2 linked regions of the Saccharomyces cerevisiae S288C genome follow. Changing the gene in region 1 together with any one later gene gives a genetic interaction. Each region holds a gene or a part of one and is shown on either strand. Other genes may lie near its edges.

The links. A genetic interaction does not mean that the proteins touch.
Region 2: mutations in CAB2 (region 1) and RIM11 together harm fitness more than expected from each alone (negative genetic interaction), as found in Saccharomyces cerevisiae (2 studies listed by BioGRID).

What each region holds. Positions count from the first base shown.
Region 1 is NC_001141.2:201,905-207,610, reverse strand, and holds CAB2 (phosphopantothenate--cysteine ligase CAB2), read left to right. Parts: upstream 1-2,957; coding exon 2,958-4,055; downstream 4,056-5,706. Other genes in the region: SDS3 (Sds3p), read left to right, coding at 4,352-5,335; KTR7 (putative mannosyltransferase), read left to right, coding at 5,568-5,706. UniProt on the Saccharomyces cerevisiae protein: Catalyzes the first step in the biosynthesis of coenzyme A from vitamin B5, where cysteine is conjugated to 4'-phosphopantothenate to form 4-phosphopantothenoylcysteine.
Region 2 is NC_001145.3:542,783-548,611, reverse strand, and holds RIM11 (serine/threonine protein kinase RIM11), read right to left. Parts: upstream 2,488-5,829; coding exon 1,375-2,487; downstream 1-1,374. Other genes in the region: SIP5 (Sip5p), read right to left, coding at 1-898; Arf family GTPase CIN4, read right to left, coding at 2,882-3,457; DNA cross-link repair protein PSO2, read left to right, coding at 3,649-5,634; GAT2 (Gat2p), read right to left, coding at 5,731-5,829. UniProt on the Saccharomyces cerevisiae protein: Serine/threonine protein kinase that is thought to function in regulating kinetochore activity and entry into meiosis. Could phosphorylate IME1.

The DNA.
Region 1 (5,706 bases):
TGCAGGGCGACTTTGAGGGAACAATGAACTTGTTATCGAGCAGTTTTTGAACTATTTTGTTGATTTCTTGTTCATTCTTTTCTGTAACATGGTATGGCTGTAGTCGAGGTAGTCTTGCGCCAGGTTTAATTTCAATATCATGTTTTACGGGGATGTTGTTAATGTCGGCAGGTCTTGGTGGGAGATCATTACGTATGATCTCTCTATACTTCTGTTGTAACCAAACTGGCAAAGTGCAAAAGGTGTCCTTATTGCTGTGATCAGTAGCATTAGGTTCTACACTCTGAATGGTTGAGACAACGTTGGAGTATTTTCCATCCTCTTCTAGGATGCTCGCTTCTTCAGGTATCGGGAATTGCGCAAATGTACTTTGAGTACTACCTGGGTTATCAAGGGTCGTAAGCGGGTCAATTGCTGCAGGAGTAGTGGTTGCAAGAGACAGGGTTTTGGTTCTGGAGTCACCACGATTACCAGCGGATTTCGGGTCAGTTGCTTCGAGAATGGTGGGGGCAAGAGACAGTTTTGTGTTTCTGGGGTTACCACGATTACCAGCGGATTTCGGGTCAGTTGCTTCGAGAATGGTGGGGGCAAAAGACAGTTTTATGTTTCTGGGGTTACCACGATTACCAGCGGAGTAGGTTCTAACGTTATTAACGGTTTCGGAGCGATAAGTCTTGGGCTTTAAGGAGTCGGGGCTCTCTCTGGTATTCAGTACTGTGTGCAGGATTTTCGGGTAGCGGCGTAAGATTGGATTTCCAATTAACAATTGGTAGTCCATGTTATCCAGTATGTACGCGGCTAAAGTTATCTGCAGGTCATTGATTTTGAGGTCAATGGTGACTGCTTCGGATGTAACGGCGGATTTGGTGGCTACGAATCCTCTAAAACGGAGTGGAGGGGTCTCGTAGATTTCGTATTTGAGAAGTTCTACAATATCTCTTCGGATAAATGACGTGGGTGATCCACTGTCAAACAGGGTTTTTACTTTCGTGTTTTGTATTTTTATGGTTTTTTCGGCGGTATTGTCCATCTCGGGGATGGCGATATAGTGTACAATTGGTAAGGTTTTGATAAAAAGAGTTTGTTGGTCTTTTGATTCGAGTTCAAGATCGGTTAGAACTCGCCTTACGTGCTCTACATTCGTTCAGGCGATGTCCCTCTTTCTTACAATAGAAGCATAGCCGATTTTTTATACATTCTTCTCTGGATGCGTTGTTATTTCTCCTGTTTCGATGATTTGACATTGGTTTATTGTAAGATCTTCTTGTCCTTACGGTGTGGACGTATCTATTCTGGGTCAGATTATCTTCTGAATCATAGTCAGAGTCGTATTCTTCTTGTAAGTGGGTTGTGGCACCGATGATAGTGTCTCCATCAGCATCAAGTTCGAATCCTGGGAAGAATCTTTCAGTTAGTGCGGTTGTCTGGTAAGCCTCTTCCATGGCGTCTTTTAATGTCTCTGGTTTGTGCATTCTGACAATATTATAGGTTTCCTTTGTCAATAGCCTAGTATATGTCATTATGGCAGCTTTTTCGGTCATGAAGTCTGGTGGCATTCTGTCCCAAATCTTTCTGAATCGTTGGTTGAGACGCTCAATACCAAGTTTAGCTTCGGAAAGTTGCGTGATTGCATTAAAGATTTTATTGATATCTGGTGGCTTATAGAAATGTTGATATAATCCTTGTATGAATGTGTCGAATGTTATTTCAAGTATACCTTGTTCTTGTACAAAATCATTAGCCCACTGAGCAGCGGGGTTTAATAAATGTCTTCTGCAGTACACAATACGACTGGCATCATTCGGCCAAGATATCATAGACATGTTTAGCATTATTTCGGAGATAAAGTTTTTCAGTTTATGCGAGTCATTTCTACCTCTGAAGGTCAAAGATGGTTGGATCGGGAAGTTAGGAAGGCATTCTACTGGGAGTTTTGGATAATTTCCTCCTCCTGGGATTTGATCCATAAAGCTCATACTGGGGTGTGGTGTAGCTAGGTTCGGCTTTTCGATGGTTCGTTTGAACAATTAGTAACCTTTAACGCTACCAGGTGTTGTATTACGGGCTCGAGTAATACCGGAGTGTCTTGACAATCCTAATATAAACAGTCTTAGGGAAGTAACCAGTTGTCAAAACAGTTTATCAGATTAATTCACGGAATGTTACTTATCTTATATATTATATAAAATATGAATCATACTAAGTGGTGGAAGCGCGGAATCTCGGATCTAAACTAATTGTTCAGGCATTTATACTTTGGGTAGTTCAGCTAGGGAAGGTCGGGTTTTGTCTCATGTTGTTCGTTTTGTTATAAGGTTGTTTCATATGTGTTTTATGAACGTTCAGGGTGACGTATTGTCATACTGACATATCTCATTTTGAGATACAACATGTTCCATGATATGGAAAAACGTATACCAGTGCTACAAACCCTGTTAACAATTAAATTCTTATTACTTCTTGCACAAAGATGCTAACACTTTACAGCTTTGAAAGTAACAGGAAGAAGTGATGCTGTGACAATTAACAGGGTATTTTTTTTTTCACTTCTACTTAAATCGGAGTTACAATTTATGATAAAAAAATCAAGAAAAAAACCTGATTATGCTAAGAAAGTAGAGGCGACGATGACCACCTATGGCCTAACCTAACTATGAACAGATGGTAGGCTCTAAATTGCGTGCCTGAAATCTGCGGATTTGATATGTAGGCGATGTTTTGGGTATTTTCCACCAACTTTATTGGCAAGGGAAGAATTCGATGACCCGAATTCGCCAAACGACAAAAACTGGAGGAGTGACCTATTGTTAACGTTTTTTTTTTTTTTTTAAAGGCATTGTCATCAACAGGACATCTGTATAAGAGGCTAAGACAATTACGCACACAACGCTTTTATTAGTTGTCATAAACTGTGTAGATTAGCAGCAGACACTCCTTTTTTTCTTCATACTATAGCAATGCCACCTCTACCCGTGCTCAACAGACCTCAAATTCATACGTCTGTTACTGAAATAAGTCATGCAATTGATCGTACAATCAAGGAAGAGCTCTTTCCCGTTGCCTACACTACTGAAGAAGAGCAATATTTCAAAACTAACCCTAAACCTGCCTATATCGATGAATTGATTAAGGACGCTAAAGAGTTTATTGATTTGCAGTATTCCCTGAAAAGGAACAAAATAGTTCTTATCACCTCTGGTGGTACTACTGTTCCATTGGAAAACAATACAGTACGTTTTATCGATAATTTTTCTGCAGGTACTCGTGGTGCATCGAGTGCTGAACAGTTCTTAGCGAACGGATATAGTGTTATTTTCTTACATAGGGAATTCTCATTAACTCCGTATAATAGGTCCTTCTCCCATAGCATTAATACTTTATTCTTGGACTACATTGATTCTGAAGGTAAAATCAAACCTGAATTTGCTGAGAATGTTTTGAAGAACAAAAAGCTTTATGACAAGTATATGGAGAAAGAGGAGAAACTACTTTTACTACCATTCACCACGGTCAACCAATACTTATGGTCACTGAAAAGTATAGCCAAGCTATTGAATAATAGTGGTTGCTTGTTTTATTTAGCTGCTGCTGTCAGTGATTTTTTTGTTCCATATTCAAGACTACCTCAGCACAAGATTCAATCAGGAGACAACGGTAAGATGGGAGCAAATAATGACACTGAAGGTACAACTAGGACTACGCCTGATGGTAAACTGATTGTGAATCTTGACCCTGTCCCTAAGTTTTTGAGAAGATTAGTGGAATCATGGGCCACTCAAGCGATGATCGTTTCGTTCAAATTAGAAACTGATGAATCCATGCTGCTTTACAAATGTACACAAGCCCTGGATAGATACAACCATCAACTGGTTATCGGAAACCTTTTACAGACAAGAAACAAACAGGTCATTTTCGTATCCCCTGAAAACAGAAAGGGAGATTGGGTACGTTTGGATGAAAAACACCATAGCATTGAAGAGATGATAATCCCAGAAGTCATCGCACGCCATGACAAATGGGTGGCGCATTCGAAAACTAAGCTAGCTACGAAATAAAACATAGCTCTTGTCTGTAATCAAAAAAATTTGCGTCAAAAAAAAAAATTAGATGTATGTAAACCTTTTTATTGAACTGAAAATTTATCTTTTATCAAATCTTTTTCTTCTATGCCTTAATTATGTTTTCAGGTATCTTTTTTCTCATTATTTAATTTAGCTTATGTATTGATCATTTCGCTTGAGATTTCAGGAAGAAAAAACGCAAACAATTTTTCAGCTAAAATGAACCCTTGGAAAAGCTTTAAGAGAACAAGAGAAACTGTAGAGCTCAGTGTGCATTGTCTTCAAGATTGATGGCTATTCAAAAGGTTAGTAACAAGGACTTGTCCCGCAAGGACAAAAGAAGATTTAATATCGAATCTAAAGTTAATAAGATTTATCAAAATTTTTACTCAGAAAGAGATAATCAATATAAAGATAGACTGACAGCATTGCAAACGGATTTAACTTCTCTGCATCAAGGTGATAATGGCCAATATGCCCGCCAAGTACGAGATTTGGAGGAAGAAAGAGATCTAGAGTTAGTCAGGTTGCGCCTGTTTGAAGAGTACCGTGTTTCTCGTTCCGGTATCGAATTTCAAGAAGATATTGAAAAGGCTAAGGCTGAACACGAGAAACTCATTAAATTATGCAAAGAAAGACTGTATTCGTCTATAGAGCAAAAAATAAAGAAATTACAGGAGGAGAGGTTACTAATGGATGTGGCCAATGTGCACTCCTATGCCATGAATTATAGCAGACCGCAATACCAGAAGAACACGAGAAGTCACACAGTAAGTGGTTGGGATTCTTCGTCCAACGAATATGGAAGAGATACAGCAAACGAAAGTGCTACTGACACGGGAGCTGGAAACGATAGAAGAACGCTAAGGAGAAGGAATGCTTCTAAAGACACGAGAGGTAACAACAACAATCAAGATGAATCTGATTTTCAAACTGGTAATGGTTCTGGAAGTAATGGCCATGGTTCTAGACAAGGGTCGCAATTCCCCCATTTCAACAACCTAACCTACAAGTCAGGCATGAACTCTGACTCAGATTTTCTACAAGGTATAAATGAAGGTACTGATCTATATGCATTTTTGTTTGGCGAAAAGAACCCCAAAGACAATGCTAATGGGAATGAAAAGAAAAAAAACCGTGGTGCTCAACGATATTCCACCAAAACAGCTCCACCTTTACAGTCTTTGAAACCAGATGAGGTCACAGAGGATATTTCCTTGATCAGAGAATTAACAGGTCAGCCTCCGGCTCCTTTCAGACTAAGGTCTGACTAATTTATTTTATGCTGCAAACCTTCCACTTTAACTTTGTATTATATTACATTAGATGGTTATATTTCAATGTGAGCTCTTTTTGTTTTTGCTTTCTTTTCTCGGATACAAGTGGAAAACGAAAAAAAAAAATTGGCTAAAATTTACTGTATACATCAGGCTAACAATCTGTGATTATAGGCACAGTTGTACCAAAGAAGGGCTAGAATATACATCATAATTAGATGCAATTAGCATGGCTATAAGATTGAATCCAAAAGTCAGAAGGTTCTTGCTGGATAAGTGTCGACAAAAACGATATGGTTTCCTCTTTTTAGGATGTATCTTCGCCATACTTTACTGTATGGGGACCTGGCCATTTTTCGCAAAAGATA
Region 2 (5,829 bases), on another chromosome or scaffold:
TCTGTACAAAACACTCGGTACAAATAGGCTGTTGACAACATTTGGAATAGTTGAAAGGCCCTGGAAAGTATAAAAAACAAATAGGGCATTCCGACCCATTTTTGTAAAGAGTATACTTCAAATCGTCACTTGGTAAATGGTAATTTTTCCTTGGCTGGCTACTGGTATTATCTTCAACATTGCTGGACTTGCTGCCAATTCTTTTCATTTCCAATTTCCTCTCCAAAAACGTCTCATTTTCATTTTCTTGCCATAAAATTCTTTTCTTATACAATCTTGCTCTAAAAATCTTTGCGTGCATTCTTCTCTGTTCCTTCTTGGATAAAGATTTGTCTATTAATTCATTAAATGTTGACTTCCTTAAATTGCCTATCGGTACGTCTTCGAATTCTTCCAAATTTTCATCGAACGTGTCATGCAAGGGCAATCCGTCAACAATTTTTATCAACTCATCTCTAGTCCAACTTTCATCAAAATCCTGCAAAGGAGTGTAAAACGGCGCTAACTTTCTTTTGATTATTAAATTTTTAACGACAGTAGCATCATAGTCCAACTTTTCAAAAGAATAACAGCCAAATGGGGCCAAAAACCCCCCATCTACAGTTTCGCTACACCTCACAACCAATTGTTTAGCATGTGCCTCTTTAGCAAGCTCTTTTTCCCGTGACGTCTTTCTTCTACTAGTGCTGGATAGATGAGAACCAGTTTTTGTACGAGCATTATTCCCATTTAAAATATTATTGACCAAAGACGTCGTGCGTCTCGTTCTCACCCTTGAAGAGGCTTCTTCATCATATTGTTTGATGACAGAATTCGATGATGTAGTATTATATGAGGAATCTGGCCTGACATCATTAAAACTATCTTCCTGGTCTATTTTCCCTGGAACATTACCCATGGTTTGTTTGCTACTCTGGGTTCGGTTTATACTAGCTAGATTATTTGGTTCTAAGGTGCTTCTTCGTTTACTAAAACACCCACTACATCAGCTCGATGATGAACCTTCACTTGCCCCTTTATACTCTAAAAACCTTGTCGACCCATTTAAGGAAGTTGTTACCCGGTTAAAGTAAAGGTGTCATTAAAATAGTTTCGTACTGGCAAAGAATACGGCTTTTATACATAATTCGAAGTGAAATGGCATAAAAAAGTTACAATTTATTTTGGCTTTACCTTATTTTTTTCATAATTTGTATTCATTATAACAGTAATGATAACATAATACTGTTACTACTAATAATGATAAGAATATGATGGTAATACAAAAACAATACTCATAATAATAACAGTAATAATAGTACTAAAAAAAGACATACGTATATATGTTCCTTCCTTCTCCCATTATTCTTGCCTGGGCTCCCTCCGGTGCTATCATTACTTAGACTTCGGATATAGCTTTTTTTTTACAGATGATAGTTCATCGGGAGATAGATGGCCCAATTCGACATTTTCATCGAACTCTAGCAATTTTAAATCAGTTGTTATTTGATTTATTTTACCGTCATCAAGTTTTAGTTCATCAAAATATGGACTACACAGGCATTGTAGAGCATTAAATCTTTCTAGTGGATCATATTTCAAAACGTCAGCTAGAAATTCCACAGTTTGATCATCTTCTTTCTTGAAAACACGTGACAATGGTATTGGTTTAATTTGCGGGAACTTATGCTCCATATAATTGGGATTCATAGAGCAAATTTCTTGCTTTGATGGAGTACCTAAGATTTTAATGATTTCCACTAGTTGATCAATACCACTTTCTCCAGGGAACATTGGTTGGCCCAATAGCAGTTCCGCCATTACGCAGCCAGAGGACCATATGTCGATTTGGTTGGTATAATTTGTTGCGCCGAAGATTAGCTCTGGTGCTCTATAGTACCGTGAACAAATATAGGAAACGTTAGGTTCAGTAGGTTTCAATTGCTTTGCACTGCCGAAATCGCACAGTTTTAAGGACCAGGTCTCAGGATCTACTAATAAATTTTGAGGCTTAATGTCTCTATGACAGACGTTCGCGAAATGATGGAGGTAATTCAATGACTTGAACAATTGAAACATGTAGTACTTTATTTCCAATCTTGACATCGGCGTACGTTGATGGACGAAATGACGTAACCTCTGGTACAAAGATTGTGGCATGTATTCTAGTATCAAATTTAAATAAATCTCATCTTGGGAGTCCCTTTCATAGAAAAAGTACTTCAGATCTATTATATTTATGTGACTCAGCATTTTCATTATTTCCAGCTCTCTGTTCTTGAATCGTTTATCTTGCAGGACTTTCTTAATAGCAACTTTTTCATTAGTTTCTTGAATAACAGTGGCAAATACCACACCAAACGAACCATGCCCAACTACTTCGGTGGTAGGGAAAGATATCTGCACCGGATCATTCGGGTCTATCGTAGGTGGAGGATGGGCGTAGTAAACCTGTTTTGACACTATGTTATTACTGAGATTCGGAGAATTATTGCTTTGAATATTCATCCTGCGCGAGTTCTAGCGTTGCGTGATTAGTGTTGCCGTGTTGTAATGTAATGCTATGTCAAGATCTTGCCCAGTAATGTGTGAATCAGACGTCGGTGGTTGGCTATTCTGGAAAAAAAGGTGTTAAAATGCAATGCGCCAGAAAGAAAAGGAAATAAGACAATGGCAACGACCGATTGGAAATAATCTGCTGGTCTTCCTACCACTCCTTCTTGTGTAAGATCTTCAATGGACCCGTGCTTTGTAACCCGCAAGCCTTACAGAACCCCTTGGTAGTATTATTATCCGGAGTGAGCAGAAGCCACGAATGCGCACAGTCGGCGGGTAATGAACTATCACGCTATAAATACTGACATTATTTAAAGTTTTTATATGGTGCTCACATCTTAGACGATTATTGGGTAAAATGGCAGGATTCCACCAGACGGTCACGCAGGTTATCAATACCTTCTCCGGTAACGCCACTACATTTGACGAGCTCTATTCGGATGTCCGGCTTGAACAGACACTTCAACTCGCTCTCTACCAGTAAACACCTTCGATGAAGCTCGGACTTGTCCTCCACTAAATCAATCTTGTTCAACACAACGATAACAGCACACTCGTATCCTATTCGATTTTCGTCTCTATTGATTAATTCTTTTAGTTCTTGCAAGGTTTCGTCAAACCGCATTGAAAGGCTCACATCTATACACCATATCATCGCTTGTGTCTTATCAAAATAGTTATCCCAAAATGGCCTTAATGTGCGTTGCCCCCCAATGTCCCATAGAGATATTGTCACATCTTTTATCATCAGACTATGTATTTGAAAACCCACAGTAGGCATTATACCATCGTTATTTTGCTCATCCTTGGGCAATAGTTTGTTTACTATCGTTGACTTCCCCGAATTGTCTAGTCCTAGAATCAGACAGCGAATTTCTTTGTCCCTGAGCTTCTGTTTCCTGATAATACTTAGTAGTCCCATGTATTCTTCTACACCTTAAGCTTCCCTCTTATTATCTTTATAAATTAGTGCGATGGCTTTTTAGATTTTGTCATGGAAACGGACTGAAAAAGTACTAGTAAAATAGCAATATAAACATAATCAAATACCTGCGTCAAAACTCATGTTAAGCAGCATACGCACTAGTGACTAATTTGGGTGGTCGGTTGATTATGTCAAGGAAATCTATAGTGCAAATAAGAAGATCTGAAGTAAAGCGGAAACGAAGTAGCACCGCTAGCAGTACAAGTGAGGGGAAAACTCTTCATAAGAACACACATACATCCTCTAAAAGGCAGAGAACTTTGACAGAATTCAACATCCCAACTTCATCGAACTTACCTGTCCGTTCCAGTTCATATTCATTCTCAAGGTTCAGTTGTTCAACATCCAATAAGAATACAGAGCCAGTAATTATTAACGATGACGATCACAATAGCATTTGCCTTGAAGACACTGCAAAGGTCGAAATCACCATAGACACAGACGAGGAAGAACTAGTTAGCTTGCATGATAACGAAGTCAGCGCAATAGAAAATAGGACCGAAGATCGAATAGTAACGGAATTGGAGGAGCAAGTAAATGTTAAAGTCTCTACAGAAGTTATTCAATGTCCTATTTGTCTAGAAAACCTTTCTCATTTAGAATTGTACGAAAGAGAGACACACTGTGATACTTGCATAGGCAGTGACCCGAGCAATATGGGAACACCTAAAAAGAATATCAGGAGCTTTATTTCTAATCCATCATCTCCTGCAAAAACGAAGAGGGATATAGCTACGTCAAAAAAACCAACAAGAGTAAAACTTGTTTTACCAAGTTTCAAGATAATTAAGTTCAATAATGGCCACGAAATAGTTGTGGATGGTTTCAATTATAAGGCCAGCGAGACTATCTCTCAGTACTTTCTTTCTCATTTTCATTCTGATCACTATATTGGACTCAAAAAATCTTGGAACAATCCTGATGAGAATCCGATCAAGAAAACACTTTACTGTTCTAAGATCACTGCAATATTAGTAAATTTAAAATTCAAAATTCCAATGGATGAAATCCAAATTTTACCCATGAATAAACGCTTTTGGATAACAGATACCATTTCAGTAGTTACGTTGGACGCTAACCATTGTCCCGGTGCAATAATAATGCTTTTCCAGGAGTTTCTGGCAAATTCGTATGATAAGCCTATAAGACAAATTCTTCACACGGGGGATTTTCGAAGCAACGCCAAAATGATTGAGACAATTCAGAAGTGGTTGGCCGAGACAGCGAATGAAACTATTGACCAAGTTTATTTAGATACAACATATATGACTATGGGATACAACTTTCCTTCACAACATTCTGTGTGCGAGACTGTGGCTGATTTTACATTACGGCTTATAAAACATGGTAAAAACAAAACATTTGGAGATTCACAAAGGAACCTTTTTCACTTTCAGAGAAAGAAAACATTGACAACTCATCGTTACAGGGTCCTATTTCTTGTGGGAACATATACTATTGGAAAAGAGAAGCTAGCCATCAAGATATGTGAATTTTTGAAAACAAAATTATTTGTTATGCCGAATTCCGTTAAATTTTCAATGATGCTAACAGTTTTACAAAACAACGAAAATCAAAATGACATGTGGGACGAAAGCTTACTCACCAGCAATTTACATGAATCATCCGTACATTTGGTACCTATAAGAGTGTTGAAAAGTCAAGAAACCATAGAAGCTTACTTGAAAAGTTTAAAAGAATTGGAAACAGACTATGTGAAAGACATTGAAGATGTTGTCGGGTTTATACCTACCGGGTGGAGTCACAATTTTGGTTTAAAATATCAAAAGAAAAACGATGATGATGAGAATGAAATGAGTGGCAATACAGAATATTGCTTAGAACTAATGAAGAATGATCGAGATAATGATGATGAGAATGGGTTTGAAATCTCGAGTATATTGAGGCAATACAAAAAGTACAACAAATTTCAAGTTTTTAACGTACCATATTCTGAACACAGTAGTTTTAACGATTTAGTGAAATTTGGTTGTAAATTGAAGTGTTCTGAAGTCATTCCCACTGTGAATCTAAACAATTTATGGAAAGTGAGGTATATGACGAATTGGTTTCAATGTTGGGAAAACGTTAGGAAAACGCGGGCGGCTAAATAAAACAAAAAAGGAAAACAAAAAAAAGAAAAGGGGGTAAAAATGTGTTATGTAAGATGTACGTACGTAATGGATATTATATGAATGTATGATTTTATATTATTGCAATATCGTATTATACTCAGAGTCCAACGTTTGATCATTATCCATATCATGAATAAACCTGTTTGGAATAGTGATAAAATCAGGAATTCTACG